Linked DNA regions of Oreochromis niloticus. The protein of the gene in region 4 binds, or shares a complex with, the protein of the main gene of each other region. Links are inferred from orthologs where the notes say so. Each region holds a gene or a part of one and is shown on either strand. Other genes may lie near its edges. The genes, in order: voltage-dependent L-type calcium channel subunit beta-3, cacnb2a, cacnb1 and cacna1c.

Region 1 (7,433 bases), on a different chromosome or scaffold from region 4:
TGTTTGGCTGTAATAAATCAAAATTTGAATTTATTTATTTATTTATTTTTAAGACTCTCAGCAAGACAATGCTACACCACATACTACATGGATTTACAACAGCATTGCTTCGAGTAAAAGAATCCAGGTGCTGAGCTGCAGTCCAGACCTTTCACCAACTTAAAGCATTTAGCACATTATGAACCAAAGAATACAATAAAGATAAACCAGGATGGTTGAGCAGCTAGGATCCTCTATCAGACAAAAATGGGTCAACACTCCCCTCCCAAAGGTCCAGCAACTGGACTTCTCCGTTCCAAGATGTTTACGGACTGTTAAAAGAAGAGGGGATGCTACTGAGTGGTAAACATGGCCCTGTCCCAACTTTGACAGGTCTTGCTGTCGTCAATTTCAAGCTAGTATTTTTCTCAAAATGCTACATTTTCTCAGTTTTACACATTTGATTTGATTGTTTCGTTACACTTCGTTTATTGCAAATAAATGTGGGTTTTATGAGTTTTGCAAATCATTGCATTCTGTTTCATTTACATTTTAGAAAGCATCCCAACATTTTTGGAATTGGGTTTTTTGTTTCTGTTAATGCAGCTTAAATCCAAATTCCAAAATTGCACATCACAACTGACTTGAAAATACATGGGAAGAGCCAACACATGGTCCATGTGATTACAACCCTCGACGTTCCACAAAACCGAACAACAGAGCACCTTAACGATATTCAACTTTACTGTAAGAAGCTTTTTAATTTGATTTCAAAAGAGGGTGCTCACCATTTTTTTTGCAAAAACACTTTTCTATGATTAACTCCAGCACATCGCAGATACAAGCTAAACATCTGGTTTTCTCATATCTGCCAAATTTGATAGTTTTGCTGAGTGGCGACGATCTGTTACGCTAAATAACCCAATACATTACAATGACTTCATATTTAAGACGATTTGTACATTTTTTCTTTTTTTTTTGAACAAATTTCTCGGTTTCTGAAACACCATTTACCAGATTAACAGTTTAAAATAATTCATGTTACAGTTCAGCTGTTCAATATTTGGCCTTTCACTTAAAGTCAATATAATCATCTGAGAAAATATTTTTCCCACCCCTTGCCCATATCTACAATCCATTCAAAATAGCTATGCAGCAACATCACAAGGAGAATCCTTTTGTTTCCAATTACAGATACCTTCTTTCTTAAATAACACTAAATCTCCATCTGAGTCTTCCACACATGTCTGACCTGAAAACATTAATTAAAAAAAATACTGAGCTGTGTTGGGATTTTGGTTGAACTTATTTTTTCTGTCAAGCATTTTGCTACCCTCTACTGGGCAAAGCAACCTCTGCAACTGAGGAAAAAGCGCTGTGGATGAAGATGCAGAGCAGAAACTGTCACACTGATATGAACAAAATAAGTAGAGAATCATGCAGGTATTTTAACAACCCCATCCCCACCTCCACCAACGGCAACAACAGCCTATACCCTAAAAAAAGAAATATGCAAGAGTTGCATTACTGCCAACCAGACACTGCGGAGACATTGGCTCTGATGACAAACTTCAAGCACCTTATAGCTTTATTCCAACATTTAGAGCACACCATGACCTACATTTTCCACAGAACCTACAGCTTTTTCCATCCACTAACAATCAGTGTGCAATAATGGGCCTGCAGTGAGACAATCCAGGCACAAAAGGAGCTTTTACCTGTCGTTTGATGAAGCTAGACGTAGTGTCGGAGGATGTGCTGCCATCTGAGCGTTTGAAGCGGCTCTTGCGCTTAGGCAACTTCCTGGGCAGCTGTGAGGAGGAAAGAGATGCACACAGGTGAAGAGATAAAAAGGGGAATGGGTAGATGGATGGCGATAGATAACGGGATGCAACAACTCTCTAGCAGTAATACTGGCAGCAAGGCTGACTATATTTATTTCAGTGCTTTAGTTGCTAATTATTTTGCAGATTTAGATTATTCATACAAAAAATAAATCTACTGCTGGCTTTTAAGGACTGCAAAAGCCAAAATGTATGGTGATTAAGTGCAAAATAGCTGCTTTGCACCAAAGCAAGCTGTAACTGCCAGAATCACACATATTTCAGGGCTGCCTTTCACAGCTTCACATGGTGGTTTGATTAATGCAGAGAGCTCCCTCAAACTGAGGAGAAAGCCTTTCAGATTCAGGCTACAGGTGAGTCCAGAGTCACGGCCTGCACATTTGCACCAATAAAATCCTGCACGAAAATCCCATAATGCTACTGGTGTGTGCTGGTTTCCCTGCACTGGAGTGGATGAAGCGTAGCACGGAGGGGGAAAATGCACTGAAATAAATAAAGCATCAATGCAAAGGCCTGATCTGCGAGTTGAGATCAAAACAGCAAATGCATCGACACCCAAGGAGGTGTTAAACTGTGTATCTGTGTTTAAAAGCCATAATATAAGGATACATGACCGTTCACCGGCTCAAGCATCAATCTGCAGTTTCAGAAAAGGCGGAGGTGAAAAAAAGGGAAAACGGAAAAAAGTAGCTCGCTGCCAAAACGCGACGCCTCAGATTGAACAACAAGTAGCATCTGACACACTAATTAACCATTTTCCTCTTTTGTCGGTGAAGATGGAGTTAGAAGCGAGAGAAATGGGAGTAAAGTGAGCGGATTTACCTGGAAATAGTGCGACTGGGAGCCGGTTTCCACGGCAGACAGAGGGTCTACGGGCGATTTGGACATTTTGACTTGCACCATATATTGAGAGCGCAGGGAGGCGGGATGCACATAGACATGGGTTACTGGAGGAAACAAGAGGCATCAGATACAGTGAAGAGAGCGAAGAAGCGGCAAGCGGGAGGGGGGAAAACGGACACTAATATCCAAACTCAGCTGACGGGAAGGCTAGCTCATACTCCCGAATAAAAACAAAAAAGTCTGTGACGGAGAAACGTAAAGGGAGTGGGGGAAAATACTGAAGCTAAAATAAACCGATAACGCTGAAGCATCAGCGCACGAGCGAACCGTACAGGTCCGTACTAAGTGTGCGACTCTGCCGGGGGTGTCGGCGTTGATTAAAATGACACAAAAATCAATTCAGACCTGCTTACAGTCAACATTTGGCTTCTTTCTTTTTTTTTTAGAAGTGCCTGGCTTCAAACAAACGCCGTGTTCCTTCTCGTCTGTGCATAATATTTGCTTGTCAAAGAAGGATTCAAATAGTTGAAACCGCAGTCAAATAAATGTGGAACCTTCAAAGAGGGCAGCTTTGAAGTCATATTTTAGAGGAGAGGTGGATTTTAGTTGAACGGGTTTGTTTTTCTTTGATCACCTTTGCCTCAGTAAAAGTGGTACTTCCTCACGAGGCATCATTTATAGTGCTTTATGTGACTGATAATAATTTATAAATACATTATAGGTCATTTAGGAGCTATTAATCACTGATACTCAGCAGTCTAATAGATTACGTAGTGTGAACTTAGATTATATGAAACCTAGTTAAGCTCGTTTCAAAATTAATCCATCTGAAATCACTAGCTTTAGATTAGTGCAGGGGTGCAAGCCAGGACTGGCCTGCTAAATGTTCCACTATGATCGACTAAGATTAGATAAGATAAGATAACCCTTTATTGTCATTGCACAGTCATATCTAGTACAATAGTACAACGAAATTGGAAACTGTCCCACGTCGGCACTAGGCACAACTAAACACAACAAAACACAACACAACACACCTTTGCAAAGTGTAAAAACTGAGGCTAGACTTTGCATTGCAATTTGCACCAGGAAGCACTGTGGTGCAAGTAATGTCTAGTAATGAGAGTTTTGTCATAAATTTAATCTGAGGAAGAATTTTTTAATAAAGGTCACTTTTACAGCTTTCTTCTTTTAAACCCTTCTATACCACACTCAAGAGTGAGGCTGCGTGACTTTAGGTTAGATAGTTAAGATAATAATATCTCTTTGTTATGACAGTAAAAGACATATTGGTGAAATTGCACATTATTCGATTGATTTAATAAGGTTACAAATCCTGGCAATCTATCTGTAGTACAAAGAGTAGGCCTGTCTGTGTGCAACAATGCAGTGCACATTACAAATGCTGAGATGTGTTCAGTGTGAGGTTTCTAACTGCCAACCCCCCCACCCCCCAAAACCTGAGGGTTACTTTTGTCATAGGATAGTATTCTGCTGATCAGACAAAAGACCTGGGCTGTAGTTTCAGTAGGTCAGGCAGGTCTTGGCAGTACCTCAAGACCTCAATATGAAAAAGGGGAAGGGAAGCAGCCAGTTGGGCAAGTAAGAGATCAGAGCAGGGGTGGTGGAAAAACTTGCTCCAGCAGTATGGTTGGTGTGCAACGGCAAGGTCTGTGTACACGATGCAAATCAAAAGTGCTCTATTGCTTTTGTCAGTGCTAGAGAGAAGTCACGACAGCACATGGACCCAGCAGTGGGTCTTCTTGCAGCAACCTGGGACTGGCAGAAAGTTGACCTGGGGAGACACCATAGCCCTGACCAACCTCAGGCCTGATATGGTGCTAATATCAGACTCACTGAGGCAGTTGGTGGTCCTGCTAGAGTTGACCATTCCCTGAGAAGACCAGATGGAAGAGGCTCCTTGCCAAGTAGCTTACAGGTGAAGCAAGGCATGGAAGACCCATTGTACCTCAATGTACTAGTAACTAGCCCATGAAGTTGCTCAGGATCAAGGGACTGAACATCATTAATTTATTGACCATGGGCCCACCGGCGGGCCCATTTTACAGGTAAATTTGAAGGGCCGGTCAATAAAGGGTTAGTGCTCCTGAGAAGACATCAAGATGGCAGTGGACCAAAAGGGGAGACCTGCAGATGACTTAAGCCACCCAGACACAAGCTGGAGACTGATCACCCATGGCTAGGTTGCCTGGGTACTGGTGTCTGATGTTGAAAGACCTGAAATACCTGATGACACTGGGTTTGGTTGCACTGTGGGTTGTGTGTTAAAACAAGCACTCTCATCACTCCCTTTTGTCCCCAAAACAATTAAAACTCTTATTTATTGTTATTTGTTATTAATGTTGCTGTTTTGTCGAGCAGTCTTTAGGGTTTCCATGCAGAAGTGCTTTTTGAGCTGCACATTTCTTGTTCAACTCAAATAATTGAGAAACATGTATATAAGAAAATTTAGTATTTTGAGAATCACTTTCCACCATTTTCATATTCTACAAAAATCTGCACAACTTGTTCTTTGGTAGTGATTTACAGTTTTACGCTTTTGACATGTACAGGCCATGAACAAGACACCTCCAGAGTTTCCCCTCTGGGGAGAAAACACTCTGCCTAAAGCTAATGCTACACATAAACTACACATTTCCTATCAACCATAATTAGAAATAAAAGTGAAAATATACAGTTGAAAGGGTAAGTGAGAAATTAAGTGCTATGATATCCCAGGATAATCAATATTTTATGGTATCTTAGAAGGGAAAGGGTGGAACATAAAATTGAAGGTTGAAATAACAAATTGATTTCCATTGGACTGAGTGTCAAAGTATGATTTTTGCCATTACACCTTTAAATCTTTAGTCTAAAATTACTCCCGATGCATTCATAGATAAAGTGTAAAAAGAAACTGGAGCAGTGAGACCTCTCAACAGCAAACTGCGGCAGCAACTTACAGTGAAACAATTTCATAATAACCAACGAAAACAAACTGAAATTTTACCCTTACAAGGGCATGTACATTCTGAAAACTGAACCACAGTAGATGATGAATAGCCTGACCTGTCTTAAGAAAAAAAAAAGTTTAGTTTTAGCAAAATCTGTCAGTTTTTCCACATTTGGTCAGTCTGCTGTTTTAACAAAAACAAAACAAACGTCTCTACAGTAACTACAAGACACTCCTTACTTTAACCACCTTACTTTGGTGTGGTATAACAGGAAATGGGAAATGAATTTGTCAGTAAGAAAGTGTTGTAAGTGATCGTGATTCAAACCTCCGGCTTGGATAAACAACCACTTTCATAACACGACACCATTCTTGATGACTTCCTTTTCATTCTCCACCACGCTCCCTAGAGTAAATACAGTGAAAACTACAGAAACCATGCACACTCGCCTTGTCTGCATTACAAAGTCATCCTGTTTGGCTGCACTGGCCTTTTTTTTTCTTTTCTTTTTTTACAGCCCATTACAGCTCTATAGCTAGTTGAGTTACAGGCCATTTTTAACCTTTTTGTAAATTCAGTAAAGTCAGAAACACCCAAACAGTGACACATCCGTGGTGTTTTCATTTGTGATATAGTCAGATTTTATTCAAATTAGTTACCATCCTGTAGCTGTTTTGTCTGCCTGATGGCTTTTTTTAGCTGCATGCTGGATCCAGTTTCTCTTCCTGTTGTTAAATGTGGACCTAAATATGAATAAGACTTTTCTTATTCCAAAAATTACCCAGTAAAAGTAATAGAGGTGATCCATTTAGCAAAACCTACAGAGATCATCACATCACATCACCACACACCCCCACCCCCACTATTTGCTTCAGTTTTCACCCAAAGCCTGTCCTACAAAGACTCCAGTTGCCCCTTTCCCATCAATATGGCTCTGGTGCAGTGATGGTGCCCATGGTAAAAGCACCAAAAGCTTGCCATGAGATGTGCTACAGCAAACTAAATAAATAGTCAAATCATCAATGACTGATTATTTTCTTTACTTTTATTTGATTTGATTTTTTATTTGTTCACATGAGCCTCTCCTGTGATTTCTCCTCCACTGTTGCTACCTCCTTAACAACTGTGGATGTTTATCTCTTAACATTATAAATAGCAGGCAGTTTGACCAATATGCTGTCTATTTTATCACACTAGGAATAAACTACTGGTTTGTTGGCCAGGTTTGAAGAATTGAAACAGGGCTCCATTAGTAATTCCAGATTCCACATTCAAGATAATTTCATTAATTATTTATTATATTTATCTTAGTTTTCCCGAACAGCAGTCCTTTTTAACTCGGACAGCTGGCAGTTTGCTGTTCAAACTCAGAAAACCAAAGATCCTAAAGCTAAATCTAAACAATAACATAGTGGTAACAACACCAAGCTTTGACTTGAATTATTTAAACGCTTTAAAAACTACAGGCTAACTTTGAATGGCTTTTATTGACCAGATTGAGCTATAAGAGGCCAGGATGATTACGGCTTTCGTTATGCTGACATAACAACTCAGTGTGTCAATATGCTTGTGTTAATTTGGTTAAAATGACAGAAATATGTTCCATGCGATAAAAATTTAAAGTGCAATATTAAACATAATAAATTCTGACATGGACTCAAGTTGTACCACAAAGTCTCTGATGATTTTATAACTAATCAGTTTTACCACAAAAAACCCAACTAACATGTAGTGGTCTTTTAAAAATTTGGACTTCATTTCTTTTTGTTATTTAGCATAATTCATTTCACGTGTTGTCTCTTTAGGACAGTAA
Region 2 (7,097 bases), on a different chromosome or scaffold from region 4:
CTGCATGAAAGAGACTCTCTGACTCCCAAAAAACATCATTCCTTTGCTCCGCACCATCTCTTTTCTGTCTCTCACTCAAATACCCTCTCATTTCCCTAACATGATGATGCAGACTGACAGTCATTCGCAGCACAGCCAACTGATGACTCTGACTGAAGGGGAACTCCTCATTTGGGGAGAAGACTGTGGGAATGGACATTAGCTCCCAAGGGTGGTGGGAAAATAAAAAATCAGGGAATTTCTCCCTGAGCAGCTTCAGTTGAGCTGCAGCGCCTCATTGAGAACTTCTCTGTGGCTGTGAGATGAAGTAGACAGCAGCCTAGGAGGTGCAATTTTGATCTGACCTCCTCCAGCTTCCCGTCGCTCTGCTGCTGCCGTGCCAAAGACGAGGCGATCTGTGCCTCCTCCAAAAAAGGCAGAAACATTTAAGCAGGAGTGTTCATCCTTAACTCAGCCCATTCTGTCCCTTTGCAGGTCTGCTCAACAAAGACCAGACTCGCTGAGTGTGTACCTCACAGGGTCTGCTTTATAACAGGCCACAGTGTCGCTCTGCACTCTGTGCACAGAAGATGCATGTCAGATGAGAGGCTTCCATTTAACATACTGTACCCAGCAGTGTTTACAGAGGGCTTTCATCGCAATGCACATCTTACTGCTGATGGATGATGATGACTGAGCCTGAGCCCTTACACCAGTTTGCATTTACTGTCAGGCATTTATACAAACACACAAGTGTTAGATTCCAACGGGAAGTAACTGCAGCCAGAAACTTGAATTATACTTCATGGTACTCTTTTATCGTGGTCAGATACATCTTTGTTGTACCTATTTTGGTCTAGGGCTTTAGGCACCAACAGATAGTTTAGAGATGACAAAAATAAGACACCGATAGGCGAGATCAACAAAAATTCAAATCACCACCCTTACCTGGCGAACAAGGCTGTTGGTTGTGGTGTCGGACGAGGTGCTTCCATCTGAGCCTTTAAAACGACCTTTTCTCCGAGCTCCTTTGCTTTGAGACTTCAGAGCCCCCCCAAAAAAAGACAGGATAAAACTGTTTATGAGGAATCTTAAAATCTTAAATCTTAAAACAATATACACAAGAGCATGCAAACTAATACATTTTCCCTGTAACAGATTTAAGTTCATGTGCAAAAATGCATTCAGCAGAAAATAATATGAGACTCATAATAAGTCATTAATGTTTACCAACAAATGCAACAACTGTGGTTAGATCAATTTCATTATCAATATGTTTTCTCTATGAAATGTCAGATAAAGCATTTGCCTCTCCAAGTACAGGGTGGTATCTCAAGAAGGTTGTGTCTGACAAAGATTATCAGTGATTATGAAAGCAAATAGAGCAATTTAAAGTTATCTGAGTGACCAGTTCTGCTTCCAACATTACAGCCTCCGTCTTCACTGATGAATTTCACTGCCTAGTTGAGTGGAGTTGGTGAGTCATTTCCAACATAAAATAATTTTTTATACCAAAAAGACTAACTCAAATATAAGGTCCTAATATTCTGCAATAAGACTTCAAACCAATGGCATTTAGCCAGTATTATAGCCAGTATCAGCCAAGCACTGATTTCCACTGTTTCTTACTTATTACAGATTGAGTGTTTTCACTTAAGGTGTAATGTTATGACGTGTTTCAGGAGATGAAGGTAATCACAGAGGTAGACGGCTTATTTTTCAAAAGTGACATCCTGGAAAAGTAATGCACGAAATGCAAGAAAATAATTTCAAATCTGCCTTTTTTTGTCCCCCTCAGTCCATACCCTCATACAAATACCCTAGGACCAAACAGAAATATCACTATAGGTGTTGAATAAATGCACTGTACTCCACAGAGCAATACAATACATTATCCAGTTTTCATTATTTTACCTGCAGGAATAGACAAAAGCCTTTATAAGATGTTTTAGACATTACAATGTTGTTGATACTGAAATTACTATGTTTTTCTTTGAGACTTTACACTAGCTTTAAACTTAAATGCCGCTTACCTGCCACTAAAACAGCCAAAACACCCATACATGCTAAGCACCTAGTACTTAGTTACTTTCGTTTTTACAGCAGTACTTCGAACAGAGTACTTTTTGCATTACACTCGTAAATATGTAATTACTACCACTGGCTTTACAATTGAAATACTTCCGGAAGTACGAGTTAATTTGACGAGCATCCAGGCTAGCTTACTTCAAAACGTCGTGATATTAAACTAATAAGACATGTCAAACTATTTTCAGTCCTTGAAAGTGAATATCCAAATATCAAACCTGACCCACAAATAAGTTAAAAAAAAAAAACCTAAACAAAACAAACAAAAAACAAGTTAATAAAAAATAAAGATTCGCCCTCGCGACTTACGAACCTCAATCAAAACTTTAATGAGGCCACCTGCGCTCACCAGCACGCGCAAAGGAAGCGGACAGGTTGAGAGCAGGTGAGCTGTTTGACGTCTCTCAGCGTGCAGTGCCAAGGTTTAAAGTGGCAGTTTAACAGGAACTGTCAGCTTTAATTAAAATGAATTAACTCACTTGTAACATGGGATGTTCCAGAGCGTCCATGTGTTTGTCCGGAGGTGTTCCTGCTCTGTTGGTTGGGCTAATGTTGACGACCATCACACCATTTGAGAAACGCGGATAGTCGGTAAAACCTCTCGGGTTGTACAGATGCTCCAACTCTGCCCGAGACAAAAGCGCATTTTTACACAGTAGTGTTGAAGAGTTTAATGCTGCTCTTCAAGTTTGAGTCGAGTTAAAGGAGGAGCTTGTGCGAAAAATGGCTGTAGTTTTTCGCGAGTTCAAGATGATAGTGATGATGTGAGTCGTCGGATATTATAGCCTTCAGCATCACAAAGCCCCCTCATCAGTTCGCTCCTTCCTACACTAGCTGAGAGAGCTCTCCTGCTCCGTGAGCCCTCAACCAACGCCAACACCTCTCTGCCTCCTCACAGCGCAAAGGGATGGAAATGAATAGCAGCATCCAAACACAAAGTCGGCATGAACACGACTGAAAAGCGTCAATTCAGAGTAACTTTGATGATCAGAACTGAACAAGTGAGAGAAATCAGGTCATAGCTACTGGGAGGTGTTTAAATCAACAAAATGATGTTTTTATTGTAATATAAACCTGATGTGGCCGCTCACAGGTATTGGCACCAAAGTAGAGGTGCCACAGGGTGGTGGAGGTGGTGGTGGTGGTGGGGAGGACAAAGAGAGGGAAAACAGAGGAAATAAGACTATTTTATCAGAAATGAATACAAAAACAAACAAACAAACAAAAAAACCCATACATGCAGCCCAAATACATATAGTAAAATATGATTAATGTCTCAGTACAAGTATTTAAAGTAAAAATTATTCATTTCTAATGGCTCACTTCAGAATCATATACATGATAGATACTTCAATCATCCTTAATTTATTAAAGATTATGATTATTAAAGATATTAATTTATTCAATTTAAATTATTGTATTGCAGCAGCACGATAAAGAGTAAAAATAGTACAGTCTAAAAGAAATAAACCACATTGTTAAAGTAAAAGTGCCACAGGTGCATAGTGAGGGTCTAATACTGTGAGAGTGCGAAGTTTTAACAGAAATTTTAACAGTGATAAAAAACAAAACAAAGAAAATAAAAATGAGGTTAATACAAAGAAGAGTAAAAAAATTGGATCACAAAGACTGATTCGTTATTATGTGCATTACTTGATTGTTGCAGCTGTAGTTAGATTAAATTACTTTTTTAGAGCTAGTTCCCTTTATCTAAATAATAAGCATAGCACCAGATGTAATGAGGAGAGGCAAATGTGACTGAAACAGAGGGCTCATGGGCTACCAAGCTGAGATTAAGTAGTCGTTAGCCAGTGAGCCTGTGGCTTCATACCACAGTCTTCCATTTTGAAGTACAACCAAGATTTTACTTTTTTTTTTTTCAATTCAATATGATCCAAAATGAGTGACTGAGACCATAAACTCATGAGGAAAGTGTTTCACAGGTCAAGAGCCGTTTTCCCACAGACTTATACTAAAGGACTGAATGTCTTTTTGCAACCACAACTATCGCCATCTGGTGGCCTTCACATAGAATGCAGGTTTAAGGCACTTTGCGTTGGCTTCATTTTTTCTGACCAAAAAGCTGTATTCATTTTTTCTTTCTATGCTAATAGCACTGGGTGAAAGGAGTATGGTGCCACCACATAGGCTGTATATAAAAAAATGGATGCAGCAAAAATCATGTCATATGTGGACAAGAGGGTGGAGTACTAGTTACTTAGAATCTTGATTAGCAGTTCATAGACTGACTGGTTTGGTTTAAATGCACACACATGCTAATTAATGCTAATAATAAACTAGTTGGACAATTGTTGCTACAACAGGCCTGTTTGTCAAATAATTACATTAAGAGGCTCCAACAACACAGCATAGTCCAGCTGACTCTCATTTATAGGAGGCAGTCAAAGCTGCCACATGCTTAACTCAGTATCCAGATGGATACTGGACATACCCCTGCACCAAGAAAATGTTAAATATACTTCTCTGAAATTTTTTTTTTCCATATTTGCTTCTCATGTAATAAAGAAATGGAGTTATCCAGTTAAACTGGGATATCCTAAAAACATATATATATCATCATGTTATCATTTGGTGCAGGAAACCTGAAAATTGGAGCAGTGAGCCAAAAGCTGACAGCTGAATAATTCGTATTGGCAGTTAAGTACAGGCAGCATAGCTGGCGGATGAAAAAAAAAAAAAAGGTGCTGCACCTGTTGACTATTTCATTATTGAATGAGCTCTTTTTTATAAATATGTCATTGTAAATACAATAAATTAATTAATTAAATTAAAAAATACCTCTCAGTTTCATATTTGATGACATACTTGTTCAGCCAGTAGTCTAAAATGCGAATATATTGTTTCTAAAATAAACTTGGCACTTGGCAGTAAGAAAATCTTTGTTTGGTCGATTATTTCTTTGTTGTAACAATGCTTCCTGGCAATAAATCTTATACTGTTGGAAAGCCTGTTTATTTCCCCTTCCACGATGCCACATTTGTAAGAAAAATGCATTTGTGGGTTGAGCAGCTGGGTTGAGTATGGAGGTTGCACCATGAAAAAAAAAAGCTTATTCTAATATTGAGTCTTGTTTGGTGTTGTTTATTGGATTGGATGATTAAAGTCTGAAGGAACGAGACATATTGGCCATTTAACAGTTCATCCAGTTAACAAACAGGGACAGTGCAATGTGAAAGAACCATACACAGCCACAACAGCTTGGCACCTCCTCCTCATGCTGGTCATCGGCTTGGTCGCACACCGGTATGGGATGGCGTCTGATTCTTCAGTGGGGTTGAGGTCAGGACTGCAGGCAGGCCATTCCTTCCTCTCCATTCCCAAATTTTGGTGATAGTCTCTGATAAATCCTGCTCTGTGGGGGTGAGTGTCATCTTGGAGGATAGAGTTCAGTCCCAGACTGTGGAGATATGGGATTCCATTTTATGGTATGTTCCAGATTTTCTGGGTAGAGAGCCGTCAGCCATATTGTACTGGAAACTTTGATTTCAAAGCTGTAGAAGACTATTTACAGTTCCTAAATCCTGACAGGGTGGTGTTGTCTTCTTGGGACACCCATGTAGTGGCCTGTCTCACAAATCCCCTCTTATGTGGAATATGCTCTTCTATTTGGAGATGGTACTGAGCGCATTCAAAAAAAATGCTGCAACTTGGTTTTGCAGAACACCAGCTTGAAGTTGCCCTGTGGCACAGGCCCTATCCACATTAGTCAACCGTGGCATGCTTGGAGCAGACACCAATCGACCACTGTAGCAGGGTCCATCCTCAAAGGTGCTGCTAATCAGACACCAGTCAGTCATGATTGGCAGCACATGGGGTACAAGAAGCTCAGAATAAGATATAGCAGATAGCAATCACACAAGAAGGTTTTTGGCATTTGTAGAGAAGATTTGGCAAGTTTCTCATGGGCGCAACCCACAAATGAATTCTCCTTACAAATGTCTGTGAAGGTTCTCAGTCATCCAGGTCATCGTAGTCAAAGGAGTTTGCAAAGAAAAGCGTCTGGACTTCTTTGAGTTGAAAGCAACTCAAAGAAGTCCAGACGCTTTTCTTTGCAAACTCCTTTGTCTCCTTACAAATGCGGCATCATTTAAGGGGAAATAAACAGGCTTTCAAACACTATGAGATTTATTACCAAGAAGCATTGTTACAATAAGGAAATAACTGACCAAACAAAGAATTCCATACTTTTTGGGCTAAGTTTATTTTGAGAAAAGAAAGCAACAAACTTTCAGATTACAAAATTTCATGCATACCAAAGGAAAATCACCAGGTTTGTATTAAATGTATCTTTCGTCTGTTTTCAGGCTTGAAATGAACTTTTATTTATCAAATGACCACAAAAACGAGGAAAAATAATAGAATCCTAGTAAGTAAGGTAATACTGACTTACACTAACAACACACACTGGACACTTTGAAAGGTACACCTTTCAGACTTACGTTACTTTGAATGTGGTATGGTTGTTGGTGCTAGACAGGCTGGTCTGAGTATTTCAGAAATGCTGATTTACTGGGATATTCCCACACAACCACCTCTAGGGATTACAAATAGTGATCTAACAAAGTGAAAATATCCAGTGAGCTGGAGTTCTCTGGGTGAAAAGGCCTTGTTGATGTCAGAGGTCACAGGAGAATGGCCAGACTGCTGTGTGCTGATAGTAAGGCGACATTAAATCAATCAAGCAAGGTATGCAGAGGAGGATCTCTGAATGACATCTCTGAAGAACCTTGAAGGAAATGGGGTGAAGCAACAAAAGAACACACCGGCTAAGAACATGCCACAATTCACATGGCCTCAGCAAAACTGGACAACAGAAGAATAGAAATAATTGCCTTACTGATGAGTCAAAATGATGTGCCATGTCACAAATCTCAGATCATCTAAAACTGGTTTATTGAACTTGATTATTAGTTCTCTGCACTCTATTGTCCTGCATGGTCACCAAATCTCAGTTCAGTGGAACACTTTTAAGATGCAGTGAAAGGGGAGATTTGCATCATGGATGTGTA
Region 3 (7,964 bases), on a different chromosome or scaffold from region 4:
TTTATCTGACTTTATCGGTATTTCCATTAATGCCCCCTCTGTTCCATGCATGGGTCTTGCTCCTGCTCTGCCACATCTCTGCAGCCCGCAGTCTCTGTGCATCAGCTGATAACATTTAATCTCGGTGCTGCTCACATCAACCGTTTGCTTGGCTGTTAGTCTTAGAGCGTCCAACTGGCAAATCCCACATAGTGAAAACACAAAGGAAATTTCTGGCACAACTTCATCTACTTCCAAGGTGCATGGAGAAGGCTCATCGCCTAAAGAGGCTGAAGCGGCAGAAATAATTGTGTGATGAGGAACAACTTTAATACCTTAGCATGTCAGCTTGTGGCCTTAATCGGGGTCATGAAGAACTATATTGCAGACAGCATTTCAAATAGCATATGCATCCAGTATACCTAACCGCCAATCCACTCAAATGTATAATGGGTAGTTTAATAAATCCTCTTGATTTTGTGTGAGTTATCATCTAACATTAAGAGGTGACTGTGCTTTGATATCCAGGCAGTAGTAAGATGTATATTTTGGTTGGACAGTCTCAGTTTCACATCTGTCTTATAACAGCAGCCGCATATCCACTGAAACGAGCTAAACACTCTTCCTTTTCCTAGTGATGGAAGACAAAATCCATGGTTCTTGACCTGTGTGCAAATATACTGTCATGGTTATGTGTTTTTATTGGTAATGTTCTGTCCTTTGAGTCACATTTTGCTGCTACAACAAAAACAGCTGTACTTTTTAAGGAAATTCAGAGTTTTTAATGTTTTTAATGTTGTTGACCCCTTTTTTAAATAAAGTTTTATAGAATCCGTTCTAATGTTTTGTATCATTCCTTGGTACGGTAATCTGTCTTTCAATAGGACCAGACCGGTAAGATTTTACCGGTCCAGCTTCTTTTTTTTCTAATAATACAATGTATGCATTGTTTGATGAGTGGACATGCCACAAATCAATTTCTCATTGGGGACAATAAAGTTAATATTGAACCCAAAAGTAGCCTCACAGCCCGATCCCATTGTTTGTTATGCTGGAGAAGCTCCTGTGCCACCAAATATGTCAGCAATTAAGCTGGTAAATTTGATCACATCTCACAGCATGTGTGATATCAGGTGCATACATGCATTAGCATGCATGTTTTTAGAGGGATCTCTATGATTGGAGCCATGATGGACCTGATTCCTGTCACTAAAGAGCAGAGAAATGCCAGAGGAAGTGGGATGGGAAGCTTCCTGCTGGTAAACATCCTCCCAGATTAAGTGTATAATTAAGGAGGGTGCTGTTTGTGAAAGCAGGAAGGCAGGGAGTATAAAGGGTGGAGGGTGGCACACTGAAAGGTATCATAAACATATTTCATTCTTTTAACCAGAACCCTCTATACAATATTGTGCTCAGAGAGCCCAACTGATCTGCAATGTGACAGCGGTCAGCACACACAATCTTTAATCTAAGCTGCCCTCAGGTTCAGAAACTGGATAATTTCTTGGCACACAGTTCATTTCTTCTTCTGTGTTAAAGAAGTGGCTGGTGAGAGAACTCTGGCCATTTCCTGCAGGATATTAGAAATGTGTTTTTTTTTCTTCTTCTCTCTCTACAGCAGAAACACAAGTGCATATAACAGCATATCCCGCTGCAGGTCAACATGAACTTTACATCTAATCTGCCTGGCACAAGCACCGTGCCCATCTGCTTCTCACCACAGCCTCTCAGCAGATAAAGATCTGATTTCTAAAAACAGACATCTCACATGAGGTGAGAAGGCGAGAGCAGGATGGGCATAGTGGCACATTCAAAGTGGATGGAGAGCTGAGGGGGAGAAGTGGGAGTAAAGAGGAGAGAGCGGGACTTGGCAGGGTTTGAAGCGCTGGTTGTCTGTGATGGTGAGGTGTTCTGTTTTTTTCCCCTTCTCCAGAGAGATAATGACTGAGCCCAGCGTGGGTGTGTTTGTTCTAGATATTCTCATCTTTTTTTGGTCATCCATTTATGTCTAAACATGCCCACAACGTCATGTCACTTCCTAAGAGCCACTGTGTATTTGTGGCTGTAAAACAGGTGACACCATGGGGAGATAAAGGCTATAAATGAGTTATTATTATTATTTTATTTGATGTTTTTTGTTTGTTTGTTTGTTTATTTGTTTGTGGGGTGTGTGTGTGTGTGTGGGGGGGGGGGGGGGGTTACAAAATGGGAAAAAATGTCAACAACATAAACCAACTCCACCTATGAAAAACTCAAGTCGCTCTTTCATTTATGGAAATTATTAAATCCCCCCCCCCCAAGGAAGCTGGTCAATTCAACATGTTACTCGATAATTAGACATCAATTAAACAAAGGCGTGGTTTTCCTGGGAACCCGCTGGTCAGACGGCATATAAACAAGCGTCACATCACGGTTACATAGCACAGACTTATTAACGCCAGCAAAAATTAAACACAGAACAAGGATGTAGCTATAAATCAAAATCCGTAGTGAAGAAAAACTAGTATATTTCATCCATTTCACTTCTTCTTAAAATCATTAATTTGACTAAATTCATCAGTGCAGCGTACACGAGCATCTCGGCACCCCGAAGGCAAATTAAGCGACTTAATTGGAAACAACCTGTTAATCTTCAGAAGTGCAGCAGCTTTAATGTTCACCAGCACCATATAGAGCATCAATTCAAAATAGTCAACATGGGATTTTTAACATAATACTTCCATAATATTTACGCTTTACCCTCTTCCCGTTTCTTGGTCTTACCTGTGTGTGTGGGTGATGGTCGAACATGTCCATTTGGATCTCCTGGGTTGAGGTCGAAGGCGTCCTGGACATACTACTTTTCTGTACCATTTGATTCAACTTTTTAAAAATCTATTTTCAGTTTCTAGTTTAGTGTGTTTACGATGGTGTCGATCGACTCATCTTTTATTTTTTTTTCCTTCGGAGAGAATGAAGCCGCTGATGCGTCTAAGCTGGTTGATAATATAATGGCAACAGCTGCCTCCTTCCAGCCTATAGCGTTACACACTGTCGCACCAGGCTTTTACACAAGAGTCAAGTTATGGGTGTGACGTACAGATACATCCGGTTATCCTGCTTTCAAAACAAAATTCTTTGAATAGGTAAGAAGCATCACTACAAGTATTATTATGTTTACCTGTTTGAAAGTTTTAGATGTTTATTCCGTATAGCACATGTTCAAAACTGCGTTTGTTATGTATAATAAGGTAAAGATTCTAGAATATTAGAGAGAAATACATTTGGCAGTGGTGGGGAGACAGAACTCCCTTTTCACAGTAAGAGACCTCTGGCAGAACCAACTTTTGCAAACAGCCCACCAACAGCCTGAACATACAGCAGGGTACCTAAGGGTTTCTTCAGGGACATCTGATCCTTTGAACTTTGACCCCTGTGTTCCTTCAGGGTTAGCAAAATGCTAAAAGGCATCAGTAATGCAAAGTGTTGCTGGACTTTTGACTCCAGGCACCTGATTGGTCCTGGGTTTACTCTGCAGTAGGACAATAGGCCCAAACATACAACCAGTCATAAGCCATGTTCGGTGTAGTGTGTTACTTGGGCTTTTTTTTTTTTAGAGTATGTAATTAACATGTAATATGTCACATTTTTGGAGCAATAACCCCAACACTGGCCATAAGGAATTACACTCAGCTGAAAAAAGAACAATGAGTCCTGAAACAGATGAAGAACTGTTCCCCGAGACTTAAAACAACTTACCTATCAACATCAAGTTATATATACAATATTGTTTTTCATTGTTTGCACTGTGTAAACAATGCAAAACACTGGGTTTCACTAGTTGAGTGTTAGGCTAAAACTAATAGATGGTAGCAGTTTTGTTAAATTTATATTTGTGAAAGACAGTAGAAACTAATGGCTATAAAATCAGTCGACCTAGCGCAGGCAGGCTTTTATTTTGAAAGCAGCGTCTTCTAACTACTCTCGGGTTTTATGTGTTTCTCTTTCTGTCTTGACGTCGATTCTTTTCCTTGTGTGCGCTCAACTCAACAGACTCCAGCTGGAAGCCGAGATCCACGCCCCACTGAACAGACCCCACCCTCATTTATGGATTGATGGAGAGAAGCGAGCCGCAGCGATGGATGCTGTGGGTGTGGATAGGCTGTCAAGCTGAGCCACTGGTCCCCGCACCGGGATCCAGGAATCAAAGGTCCCGCGGGGCTATAATGGGGGGTGAGAATAGTTCAATTTGACAGCTAGTTTGTTGTAGCAGCAGGGAGGCTCAATGCCTGACGTCTCTATGATTTGAAGAAGAGGAGAATGATGTTGATGTGGCCTTGGGTAAAAATAAATAAGTAAATAAACTTTGGGATATAATGCTGATCCAGGAGCAGGTAAGACTGTCTGATGTGCCCAAATTTTGCATTACCTAGCTAAATAAAGACAGACATATTTTAAAAAATGAATCACTATCATCTCACAGTTTTAATGTATCTAGTAAAAAAAGTTATAAATAATTAACTTAAAGCTTTCAAGATCATCAAACTAAACATCATTTTTTTGTCCCTTGGAGTTGTAACACCAACAGAAAAGACATAAATGAGTGGACAGCTAAATGCAAATCATCACTTGTGGGCAGATGCATAGGCAAACCATCCCATGAGTACACATCCAGTAAACAATACCTTTTATCTTTGCTGTCCTCTAACTTAAAAACATCCATGCCTTAACCAGCTCTTCAGCTAGCTATTTCCCGACTTGTCATTTGATGCTGAGCAGGTAGCTTGCACCTGGTTTATTAAGGCACATTGTTTTAGACCGAAAGTGAAAGCAAAGTTTTTGCCACTTATCAATTGCTCAGATTTGACTTTTTGATGGCGTTATTTAGCCTAAGGCCCCGATATTAAATGTATCTGTTGGACAGACATTAGATGGAAGCCAGTAACAGAAGCATGACACATGAGTTGAGGGGAAACTTTTGCAGTCTCATGATTTGATTTGATTTGATTTAACTAGATTTACTGTAATAAGTGCAGGCTCCACAGTAGGAACTCAGTGTAACAGTACAACTTTAATTACTTAAATCTTTTATTTTTTTCATTAATTTGCATCCTGTTCTGCCTTTGCTTTTGATGACAGATTAAATTGTCTTTGACATGCAGGACAGTGCAGATCTATGAAGAACTGTTGCTGTTCCACTGTTCAAACATTTTTTAAAACCCTCTTTGCTGGTTTGTCTTTCTCTTTAAAATGCTGCAAAAGTGTTCTGCTGACCTCGACTCAGGCAGCAGGTCACAGTTCTTAGTTTCTTCTCTTTTAGAAATTCTTTTTTTGGCAGTGTGCTTTGGATGCTGGAATATTCCGCTTCTGCTACTCTCTTGTCAGCTAGTATTTTGATATATTCAAAATAAAAACGTTATTATATAGTACTCCCACCTCAGTAATAAAGAATTATTAGCATGCATTTACTGAGGAAATCATGGACACGAACACACCAATTATGCCACCAAACAAAGACTACAAAGAAAACCACAGACACCTCTATACATCAATACAGAGACCTGAAAAGAGCCCTCCACTTCTGGTTTCTGGGGGGTTCACATCACTGAGCACCTTTCCTGGGATGACGACACCTTTATTTATTAAAAAAGTCAAAGAGAGCCAACTTTCCCCCATAATTGCTTGCCAAATTTTACAGACTGCGATCACAAGCTGCATGACAGCCTGGTAGGGTAGCAGCACCAAAGCTGACAAAAAGGCACTCCAGTGTGTTTTGAAAACAGCACAAAACATTGTTGCCAGCCATCTCTGGAACATCTCTGCATCACTCGCTGCTTGAAGAGTGCCGAGCAACTTCACAAAGACACGACACATGCTGGACACCATTTGTTCAAGTTCCTTGCAGCAGGCAGGTGCTTTAGTGCTATAAAAGCATCCACAAACAGATTGAAACTCAAATTCTTCACAACAGCTGCGACACCACTAAACTGTACTTCATGTACGGTCCTGATGTGCAATATTCTTATGTTCAATTTTACAGGTTTATGACAAAAACTGTGCACCAGAAGCTACTTAGCCATGGACACCCATGCCATGAAGCACATGGTGCACAGTTTTTCTGCTGATGTTAAAGACAGAGGACATTTGGAACTCTGTCAGCAGATGGTTGGCCACTTTTGCACACTATGCACCAGAGGGGTTAGGGAGCCACTAACTTTATTTGATCTCCCACTTTGTGTCTGAGTTGCTGTGGTCCCTAAAAATATCCACTTTGCTTTGCTCTAATTGAAAGATTAAGCGGTGTGGTCCAACACTTCTGTTCCTATACATCATGTGACGTTGCTTCCACACTGACAATAAAGGTCTCGTATACTGAATCTGACCAAAAAATATATTCATAATATTCAAGATCTTTAGAAAAGTTTAATCTCAAAATGTTTTTTTTTCATGCTGTCTGATAGTCTCTGTGCCAAATCTAAAGAAATAAAGCATCTGTTTTTCAGGACTTGTTGTTTAAGCAGTGCATTGTTGGGGACATCATTTTAAGAGGACAGTTAGTGTGGCTATAAAGGCACTATGGCTTATTTTATAGTTCCTGAATGGACCATTTAAAAAAAATTAGCTACTGGTCTTCCTTTAGAATTTTTACATCTTCATGAAGTCTTACAATAAGAATGTTCACTTCTTCTGCCAATACTTTTTTGATGGAGCCACGATGAAGATATGCTAAGTTAACTGGAAATCAAATATCTGAAATCCTGAAAGATGCCTTTATTTTTAATCTATTTGTTCACCCTGTGCTACTACTCTAAAACTCTTTAGTGGCTTTTGTGAATCAGCTCAGAATAATAAAAGATAAGAACTGTGAACCTTTTTTTTCACCTATCCCCACTGAGAGTGCATGTGTTTGTTTTCTGCTGAACCTTTGACTGACGTCAAAACTCACCAGAAAGTCTTACTGCTCTGGTTTTTCTCCTTTTTAGCTGTTTGCTGAAGTTCATCATGCAGTTTTAACTCACATCTATTGATGCAAACTTCCACATTTCTGTGATACTTCATGGAGATTGTATAGTCAAAGAGTATCCCCTAAAAAAGGAGCTGAAACACCTTAAAAGGTTGTAAAAATTCAATTCAAGTGCAAGTGCAAGTCTCTGAGGGTCCATTTGGTATTTGATTCCTGCACATTATTCAGTGTGGCATTTTCAGATGTTTATACGGCTAACTGTTATAGCGAATTATTCCCACCTCAAGTGCATGGCTGAAATCGAAATGAGCAGCCGGTTCCCAAAATTATCGTTAGGTTTGGGTGTTGATGAGTTTTAGATGACGACAGTCACGGAAATGCAATAAACACTGAGTTCACAGAGCATTGATGATATCCGTGTAAATCTGAATAAACAAAGGGATGATTCATCCACCTCCTCCTCTCGTATCAACCAGTCACAAAGGAAAATGAACCCCACACCTGCAGCAGTCTTTGATAAAGCCCTTCTGGGGGGAAATCAGTGTGACGTCCTGATTCCAGTTGATGCCATTGGACTGAACACCCACAAGATCATCCTCTGCGGCTGCAGCTCATACTTCCGCTGAGCTCAGTTTTGCATGGGAGGAAGAAGCAAAAAAGGATCACATTTTACTTTTGAAGTTATGGTAGTCATGTCTCTGAACAGTCCCTTTAACTCTCCTGCAGCAACTGGCTGACATACTCCTCCAAGAAGAACATAATGTGCAGCAGGAGAGCAGGACTTTCAGGCTAGCCTCTCGTGTTTTTTTTTTTTTTATCTTTCTACTGCTGCCCAAGGTAGCTCAAGGTAGTCAGCTCTAGTATCCATTTACTTTTCCACAAGGATCAACACTCTAATGAATGTGCAGCCATGACATTTTAATTCAATACATGGTAATTTTCTTGGCTCTTTGGTTTCTGCCTGCTGTGTTTTTGTGTCCTTTTATGTGAGTGACAATTTCATGAACAATATGAAAGAAATCTCACAGATAGGAGTTTAAAT
Region 4 (7,715 bases):
ATGCTTTCATGCAACGTGGACTTCTAGTGTATTACAAGTCGATGTATTGTGATGGTAAAAGGTCATGAGCATCATCCTAATCTGTCATTTCCAGCCCTAATATCAGCACTTAGATTTAACACTGATATGGGTCTGAACTTCTGGTATGTAATCCACTGGTATGTCTGGTATGTCATATATATTAGAAGTACATCAATGGCTATGTCGAGATTCTTACCTCCAGGTGGGATGTATCGATATCCCAGGACACTCTCTGTCACCAGCAATCCTCTAAATCTGACTTCAGGTTCCTCCTGCAGCCTCTCATGTTTAGGTTTCCTCTCAAACAGGCCTCTCAGCATGATCTCTCAGTATTCTCACAGTCCGGTGATGATGTTTCCTCTTTCTGTCTCTCCACAACTTAAAAGTTGCTCAGAACTGATATTAAAAAGCAGTGCCAGTAATTACTTATCTGGCCAAAAGATGCCAAACGCGATGCTCCCCTTCCTTTTTCTTCTTTAGGACCACAGATCTACTGATGGCGCTCTGTAAATATCAGGTTGTACACATACAGGTTTCCCAGTAGTTCTGGTAGTTCTTTATTTTGAGAACTGGGTTTCAGATGCAGAAGAGCAATTTGAACATCCTTGCAGTTAAGTCTCAAGAGGAAGGTGTAACAGAAGTGGTATACGAGACTTTACTAGCTGTGAATGTCAATATTTACTCCTCCTCCTTCAGTTTTCCCCGAAATGTCCTCTCATGCAACAGCATCAGTTTGCTTTACTTCAGGAGCACGTAATTCCTGAAAAACCTCCAGGAAACTAAACGCTGGCGAAAAGGATGTTATTACTCTTCCTCATGACTGATACTATGAACTTTCTTCACAAAGGTGATCTCATACTGCAGTGAAAGTGTACCAAATTTATCTTGGTCATCACTTCTGCTTGTAAATTTGTCTGAATTTATGACTCTACTAAAGGTAAACAGTCTCACAGTAACAGAGTAACTGAAATGTCAACTTTAAGCGTTGTTTGTCAAACATAAAACACAAGACTTTTTTTTTTTTTTAAGTGTCCCGTTGAAGTGTTTCTAAAGGCTGGTGCTTTCTGATGGGCTGCTACATCGTAGGCGCAGAGGGTTTCAAAGACCACACAGGTTCAGTTGTGAATCACTTACAGGCTTTGCTGGGTTTCCAATATATTTTGTTCAAACCGTAACAGACAGCCTGTGTCTGTGGTGGTTTTTGAAGCTGCCACTCTTCCTGATATCAGTCTCAAGCTTAAGTTGTAGTCCTGCTGAAGTTGTCGTCCCACGTGGCCGTTCAGTGGAGTTCCCAGTCGAGTTGCTTTGGTACTTTGCTCGAGGCATACATTTCAAAAATCCCTCTGTCTTTCTCTTTCAATTTCCAGTGTCGAGTGGAGCTCTCTCTTTCTCCCTCTCGAATTTGTAACCTTATGGCCACAACCACTTTTCGGCTCTCTCGCTCTCGCTCTCTCTCTGTATCACTCTATCGCCCTCACTCGTTTTTTTTCTCTTTCCTATCTTGTTGATATAGTTTCTACAGGTCCTGCTGGAGCTGTGGAAGTCTTCTATTTTAAAAGCACATGCACATCTTTTATCTTATCTTCTTCTCCCTTTCTGTGAGACTGAGAGAGAGCAACATGCTGGCCAAATGGAGTGTCTAATGTCTGAAACGTCACAAGTTCTTTTTAGTATTCACTGACATGTTTCTATTTTGATGTGCTTAACGAGCTCCCCTGTAACACACTTCACTTCTTTCCATTCATCTTGCTCATTTTTCCTCCATTTTCCAGCTGTCAGACTTTCACCGTGTCTCTCTCCGTCTCTGTCGAATAGTCTCATCCCCTATGAGCACACTGAGCACTAAGTGGCTCTGGCTCCACCAGTCAGCCTCCCACTGCAGTTACTTATTTGGTCCTGGGCTTATTTTCCCAGGCTCAACTGAACTCTCTGTGTACGTATGTGTCTCAGCCTCTCCCTCTCTGTCTGTTCTCCTCATCCACTTTGACCTCGATGCCTTACCCAGCCCCATTTGTAGCCAAGTGGATGTGTATTTTTGTTCATGTCTGTGTGTGTGGGAATGTGTCTTGTATTCAATTGGATTACATAAAAACCTAGTCATGGTATAGACCCCACTGATTGCTCTTTTTTCCCCCCACTTTAAAATCTTTGTGTTATTTATAAGTTTTTCTCTGTCCTTAATTTACTCTCATATCTTTTACTCTTTGCCTCTTTTCTTTTTGGGGATTGGGATCTTTCCCCGACATCCACAAACTGCAGCAAATTTGTTTCTGTCTTGGGCAGAGTAGCACCATGAGTATTGCTAGAGCCCTCCACTCACATGTCTTCTCATTTGATAAACTTGTCATGCAGGTTGAACATCCAGGTTGATAAAGGAAAAAGTTCAACGATTTCAGGGTCTGGGCTTCTTTAGAACATCACGGGAACTTTATTTTTTCCATGCAAAATTCTAAGCCCTTCCTTAGTGGCTGCAATTGAGTGGTTATGCAACAACGATTAATCTTTCAAAAGAGAGCACAAATGCAAACAGTAAAATTAATCACTTTGTAAAGTAGTTCATCCCATCTACAAAACTGGGCAAGTGTCTTTTTCCTCCCTTGCTGACCGTGTTTACGTAGATCAGGGCACTCCTGGGGCCCATGTTTCATTGTATAATTGCATCGCTGGCTTCTGTTCCCATTGGCTTGGCTGGGAAATGACTCATTTTAAACCCTGGGGTTATACCCACCAGGGCTAATAATAAACAGTTTATCTATCTGTTAGGTCCGCACTGATGTCATTGCAGCAAAATTGTGCTACAGCATGGCTACACATTCATTCAATTGTCTGGGAAACTCATTTTGTTGTCTGCTGACCTGGACTGAGCAGACAGTTGCATTATTACACCAAGCTAACTAGATTTTCAACATTGACAGGGTCATTATTGCAAATAATTTGCTGGATTTTTGTTAATGTAATGTCCTCAAAAGTTCAATTCTGTCTCTTGCTGCATCTCAAACCCCCTGTTCTTCTTCCCCAGTGGCAATCCATGGGATTTGGTTCTATGATAAGGAGGACTGTCAGCGCATCGCCCAGAGGATGAAGATGTAAGTAACTGTAATTGGATGATCTTCAAAACAAGATTTGGTTTGCTTAAAAATGACTAATGAGTTATGGACCAGCTGCCAAAGCTTGACAGAAGACTCTTTTGTTCATGTGTGCAGTCTGACCCAGCAGGAGCAGGTCCTGGCTCAGTCCCAGGGTGGTTGGTTATCCCCAGGAGAAGTAAGAGTAGGGGGAGGGGGAAAAGGTGAAGCAAAGGGAGTGGACATCATCCAGATGTTAACCAAAGCCCGCACAGAGTATGATAAGGTATGTGCACACTGTAGGATTTTGAAGAGAATAAAACAATTAGAACAACACAGATTAAAATGCTGGGAATAGCTAGGCCCTAATATATCTTTGCATTTACATTTGTTCATTTAGACCTATAGGATGCGGGGAGTATTTTCTAGGATCCTCAATTAATCACTTATAGTAATCTACTTTTTGGCAATTTATGTGAAATAGTTTTTATGTATTTATTTACTTATTTTGTTAATTGTCTCTCCTTTGTCTATTCTTTCTGTGCACCTCTCTTAGGAAAAGTCAACCTCAGAGCCAAAGGAGATTGGTGGCAGCAGTGTTCTTTATGGAAACCCCCACCTGATTAAACCAATACCCGTTAAACCAAACACTCAGGTAGAACATCCAGTTTAACCCTGTTAAAATCACATTTTTCGTGTATAAAAGAGAGTTTGTAATGGTTTTCTTCCATTGTTGTGTATAAAACCCTGCTAGTTTTTTCTGTTTGTGCTTCTAACTCATCATCTTTCTTACTCTACTGTGCTTCTCTCATCCAGGACAATGAAGGTGCTCAGCCCAAGTCTCTTTCTTTGGCTACTCTGTTTGGCTCTCAGCAACGTTCAACTAAACCTGACTCTGTCCCTCTTGCGAATGCTCCAGCACTGGGATCATCAGCGGGAAAAGTATCTCGCCCGCCTGTAGCTCGCACACTCACCTACGATGATGCAGTGAACTCTGGCAGAAATGTGGCCTCTGATGGAGGAATCAAGGCTGTGGAAGATGGAGCCAATGTTGTTTCTGGCTTGTTGCAGAGTCCCTCAAACGCTCACCAGCAGCAGCAGCACTGCCCGGCCATCGCAAAGCTCATGCAGGGACAGAGAGGTGTCGGGACTGTGGGAGGGGTGCTTCAGACTGTGTCCGAGTCCCCCGAGAACCGACTCTGTGACAACGGGGTGCCGCTGGAGCATCACCACCACCATCATCTTTACCACCATCAGCAACAACACCACCATCACCAGCATCAGCTTCATCCTGATCCAATCAAGAGACTTTTCCAAACCCAACCACCTCCTCTACCCACCACCTCTTTCTCCTCTGCAGCCCCTAATTGTTACTCCAACCCTTCCTCTCTACAGCAGAACCCTCATCTCTCCTCCCAGCCTGTAATGGTGGATTCTGTGTCACGCTCTCACCTTCAAGCACAACAAAGCCAGCAGCTGTTTTTCAGCCTGTCCAATTCTCAACCTGAAATTCAGCAGAACAGCCAGACGGCTCCAGCTGCACAGGGAACAGGTGGGGAAATCTTTTGTGTTAAGTGTTCACAAACAAACAAGCTAACCTTGTACTGAATCAGTGTGCTACATACACATTTTTATAATTACAATGCTAATAAACTATGGGAAGAATAACTTTTCTATAATGTTAATGGGATTCTTCTTGCTTTACCAGGTTTGTTGCCATCTCAGGTGACCAGTGATCAAGTCATTCAACCTTCACAAGGTATAGTATTCAAGTTTTTTATTGTTTGCAGTCGCTAACTAGCAGGGTTTTAGTGGTGAGCACAAACTTAAGCCGATTGTTACTGAAGCTCTGACGAGTTTTTCCAATAATTTGAAACTACATATAAACAGTAGTTAAATTAAGAAACTGCAAAGGAACACATTTTTTCCCAGTTACAAGACACATTATCTGTAGTTCCATTGCTGTGTTTCCCACAGGACTGGAGCTCATACATGTGCACGCATGCACAGTGTGCATAAATTCACACTTTTGGAAATGATTTACCCTAGAGTACACTCACCAACCTGTTTAGCTGCTCATTAAAAGTAATTCTTGTTTTTGGTACCTTCGTGCTTTCTCGTCAGGATTGTCTCACGTGCCAGGTATGGTGTCACCTCATGAGCTCCTCCAAAAGCTCCAGTTGGTCCAGCAGGAGCAGAGCCTGACCTCTAGTGAGCCACCTCGGATCTGTCCAGGACTGGCTCCTCGATTCCTGGGGCCAGCCCAAAACCAGGGTGCATGCGTGACTTTAGGCACAATCCCAAACCCAACTGCAGCCACTGCAGGTCAGAAAGCTGCGTTGCAGTTACAGGTAAAGCCCAGTGTAAACAGTTAGTAGTTGATTTTATCAACTATATAAACAGAGCAAATGGCAAATACTAGTTAAATTGGTGACATGATAGCTGCAACAGTACTATAAGTGCTCCCTGTCTGTGCAGGTGATCTCCCCTCAGAGGATACCAGCCACTGTTGCCCCGACTCTGCTCCTTTCCCCGAGTATGTTCACTCAGACAAAGCCTAGCAGTGGGTTGTCTGCAGTTGGTCAGGAGAGCTCCCACCCACCCTCAACTGTGCCCAGACCTCCTCTGCAGGAGGAAGTCAGAATCCTTTCCAGAACTCAGCTTCAAGCCACACTGCTGCATCTGATACAGGTGATTATTCCTTTAAAGTTTGTGGTCTATTATGGCTTCACAATGCTCGCTGTCCAGTTGTTGTGCTCACGTTGTAGCCAAATCTGTGCAGTTTTGTTTGCAGAGAGAAAAACAGAGAATAAGCAAAAACAAACACACACACACTTGAGGATTTAGTATGAAGTTGCCTGCTTGTGTGTTTCAGACCGACAGCTCATTCCTGGACTCCATCTATGAAGCCTATACGAGCCGCTTTGCTAAGGACTCCAGCAACAAGTATTGATGCAGCTTCACACCCTCGTTCTACTCACGCACCCTTCCCAGAGGCTCTTTCTTACACCTCATATGGATGCACCACTTCCTCCTCCAAATCACATAGACACGTACTTAAACACACACTCTGTACCTCCTCTGCACTATCGTTAGGAAGCCTGACTCTGTTCGCTTCAAGCCAAGTCTTTTGTTGCACAAAGCTATCACAAGTAACACCTGTATTTTTCAATAGTAGCAAAGGAAAACAACTTTTACAATGTTCAAAATAATTTGGTTTAGTCTGTAGATTACAGATTTTACCCTTGACCTCACCCTTTGAGTCTCAGCAAAAACAAAACATGCTGCAAACCTTCAGTTTTCCAGGATGTTTCTAATACTCTTTCTTTTCCAGTAAGTGTAGCAATATTTCCTTTCAGTCAGTTGTCTCGCACCAGCCAGCCTTTAACAAACAAGTCTTCCTAGTCTAGAGCTAAAAGACATCTTCAGATATTATTTTAATCTCTTATTATTTTACTTGGGCATAACAGGTTTGTGTATTTTACCACCAGCAGGTTTTTTAAATCTGTTATTACATTGTTGTGTTGATTTTTATTTCTATCCTTTTTAACAGACACGAGCAGTGATAAGTGTCTACATTGTAATTTTGGTTAACTAACTGTTGTCAGCTGGTGCATATTGAAGTGGACGAGCGAGCCTGCGGCATAACTCTATCCGGCAATCGCTGAAATTGTGAAGGAGAGAAAAGGTTTTTCTTTTGCAGCACTTTTTGAATATTATAATATGTTTGAAGAAGGAAAACGTCAATGTCAGTCCACCTTAAAAAGACAAGAAAATTACAGGAACCTGACAACCTGCACTACCTCACAGAGAACTTGTTTGGAGGTATACCTGTGTTTTAAATGAAGTGGCATAAAGGTGATTGATTTATGTCATATAGTAAGGAATTTTTGTTCGCTTTATGTAAAGAGATTTCAGAAAATTAAATATCACCTAAGCTGATAAATGGTTCTAAACAAATGAAGCCTAGAGTGGTCTAATAATATGATTTAATAATCTGAAGCTTAGAAAATTTGGTTAATTAAATCATCAACAGCAACATTGTTACTTGTTCAGGCTTGTTGTAAACCCTGGTGGAGAGTGAACATAAAATTTAAAAGGTTTTATTGCATTTGCACAATACTGTTATATTACATTTGCCACGTAAAGTGATATTTCTCATTCAGTCGTTCCTCATTCAGCACTTAAATTGCTTACGTTTTTCCAGAGTCAGGGTTTTTAGTTGGTGATTAGCGTGTGTGCTAAACCCATAGCCAGCCTGGACAGTAGCTACCAGGCAGAAACATCAGCAGCAGCAAAAGCAGAGAATATCATTCAGGAAAAAAAAAGAGGAAGATTTTATTCCCTATTTTTTTACTCAAGAAGAAAATTGTACAAATAACCAGCATGTATTTAAAAGTATATCAGAATGTAAAGTTTAAGATTTCACAGCATATTGTCAGATGCTGTTTTAATTCAAAAGTCATCTGTACTGTTTCTGTAACCAGAATATTAAAATGTTTCTATGGGCTTTTTTTTCTTTTTGGCAGGGATGTTTTCCCATTACATAAACTGGAATATATTTTTATTGGCTATTAAATGTTAAAAAAAAAAAAAAAAACTGTGTCGTTTTTTTTTTTTGTTGTCCTC

The links.
Region 1: cacna1c (region 4) and voltage-dependent L-type calcium channel subunit beta-3 share a complex: the UniProt entries of both Homo sapiens proteins name them as parts of the calcium channel complex. The link is inferred for Oreochromis niloticus from reciprocal best matches to the Homo sapiens genes CACNA1C and CACNB3.
Region 2: cacna1c (region 4) and cacnb2a share a complex: the UniProt entries of both Homo sapiens proteins name them as parts of the calcium channel complex. The link is inferred for Oreochromis niloticus from reciprocal best matches to the Homo sapiens genes CACNA1C and CACNB2.
Region 3: cacna1c (region 4) and cacnb1 share a complex: the UniProt entries of both Homo sapiens proteins name them as parts of the calcium channel complex. The link is inferred for Oreochromis niloticus from reciprocal best matches to the Homo sapiens genes CACNA1C and CACNB1.

What each region holds. Positions count from the first base shown.
Region 1 is NC_031984.2:12,750,879-12,758,311, reverse strand, and holds the start of voltage-dependent L-type calcium channel subunit beta-3, read right to left. Parts: upstream 3,014-7,433; 5' UTR 2,727-3,013; coding exon 2,646-2,726; intron 1,791-2,645; coding exon 1,698-1,790; intron 1-1,697. UniProt on the Homo sapiens protein: Regulatory subunit of the voltage-gated calcium channel that gives rise to L-type calcium currents. Increases CACNA1B peak calcium current and shifts the voltage dependencies of channel activation and inactivation.
Region 2 is NC_031974.2:16,013,875-16,020,971, reverse strand, and holds the start of cacnb2a (voltage-dependent L-type calcium channel subunit beta-2a), read right to left. Parts: upstream 3,007-7,097; 5' UTR 2,631-3,006; coding exon 2,547-2,630; intron 1,021-2,546; coding exon 928-1,020; intron 1-927. UniProt on the Homo sapiens protein: Beta subunit of voltage-dependent calcium channels which contributes to the function of the calcium channel by increasing peak calcium current. Plays a role in shifting voltage dependencies of activation and inactivation of the channel.
Region 3 is NC_031969.2:27,484,042-27,492,005, reverse strand, and holds the start of cacnb1 (voltage-dependent L-type calcium channel subunit beta-1), read right to left. Parts: upstream 3,019-7,964; 5' UTR 2,833-3,018; coding exon 2,743-2,832; intron 1-2,742. UniProt on the Homo sapiens protein: Regulatory subunit of L-type calcium channels. Regulates the activity of L-type calcium channels that contain CACNA1A as pore-forming subunit.
Region 4 is NC_031981.2:10,681,973-10,689,687, reverse strand, and holds the start of cacna1c (voltage-dependent L-type calcium channel subunit alpha-1C), read right to left. Parts: upstream 3,016-7,715; 5' UTR 342-3,015; coding exon 218-341; intron 1-217. Other genes in the region: dcp1b (mRNA-decapping enzyme 1B), read left to right, coding at 3,041-3,107, 3,225-3,372, 3,643-3,741, 3,903-4,638, 4,795-4,845, 5,211-5,437, 5,565-5,777, 5,962-6,039. UniProt on the Homo sapiens protein: Pore-forming, alpha-1C subunit of the voltage-gated calcium channel that gives rise to L-type calcium currents. Mediates influx of calcium ions into the cytoplasm, and thereby triggers calcium release from the sarcoplasm.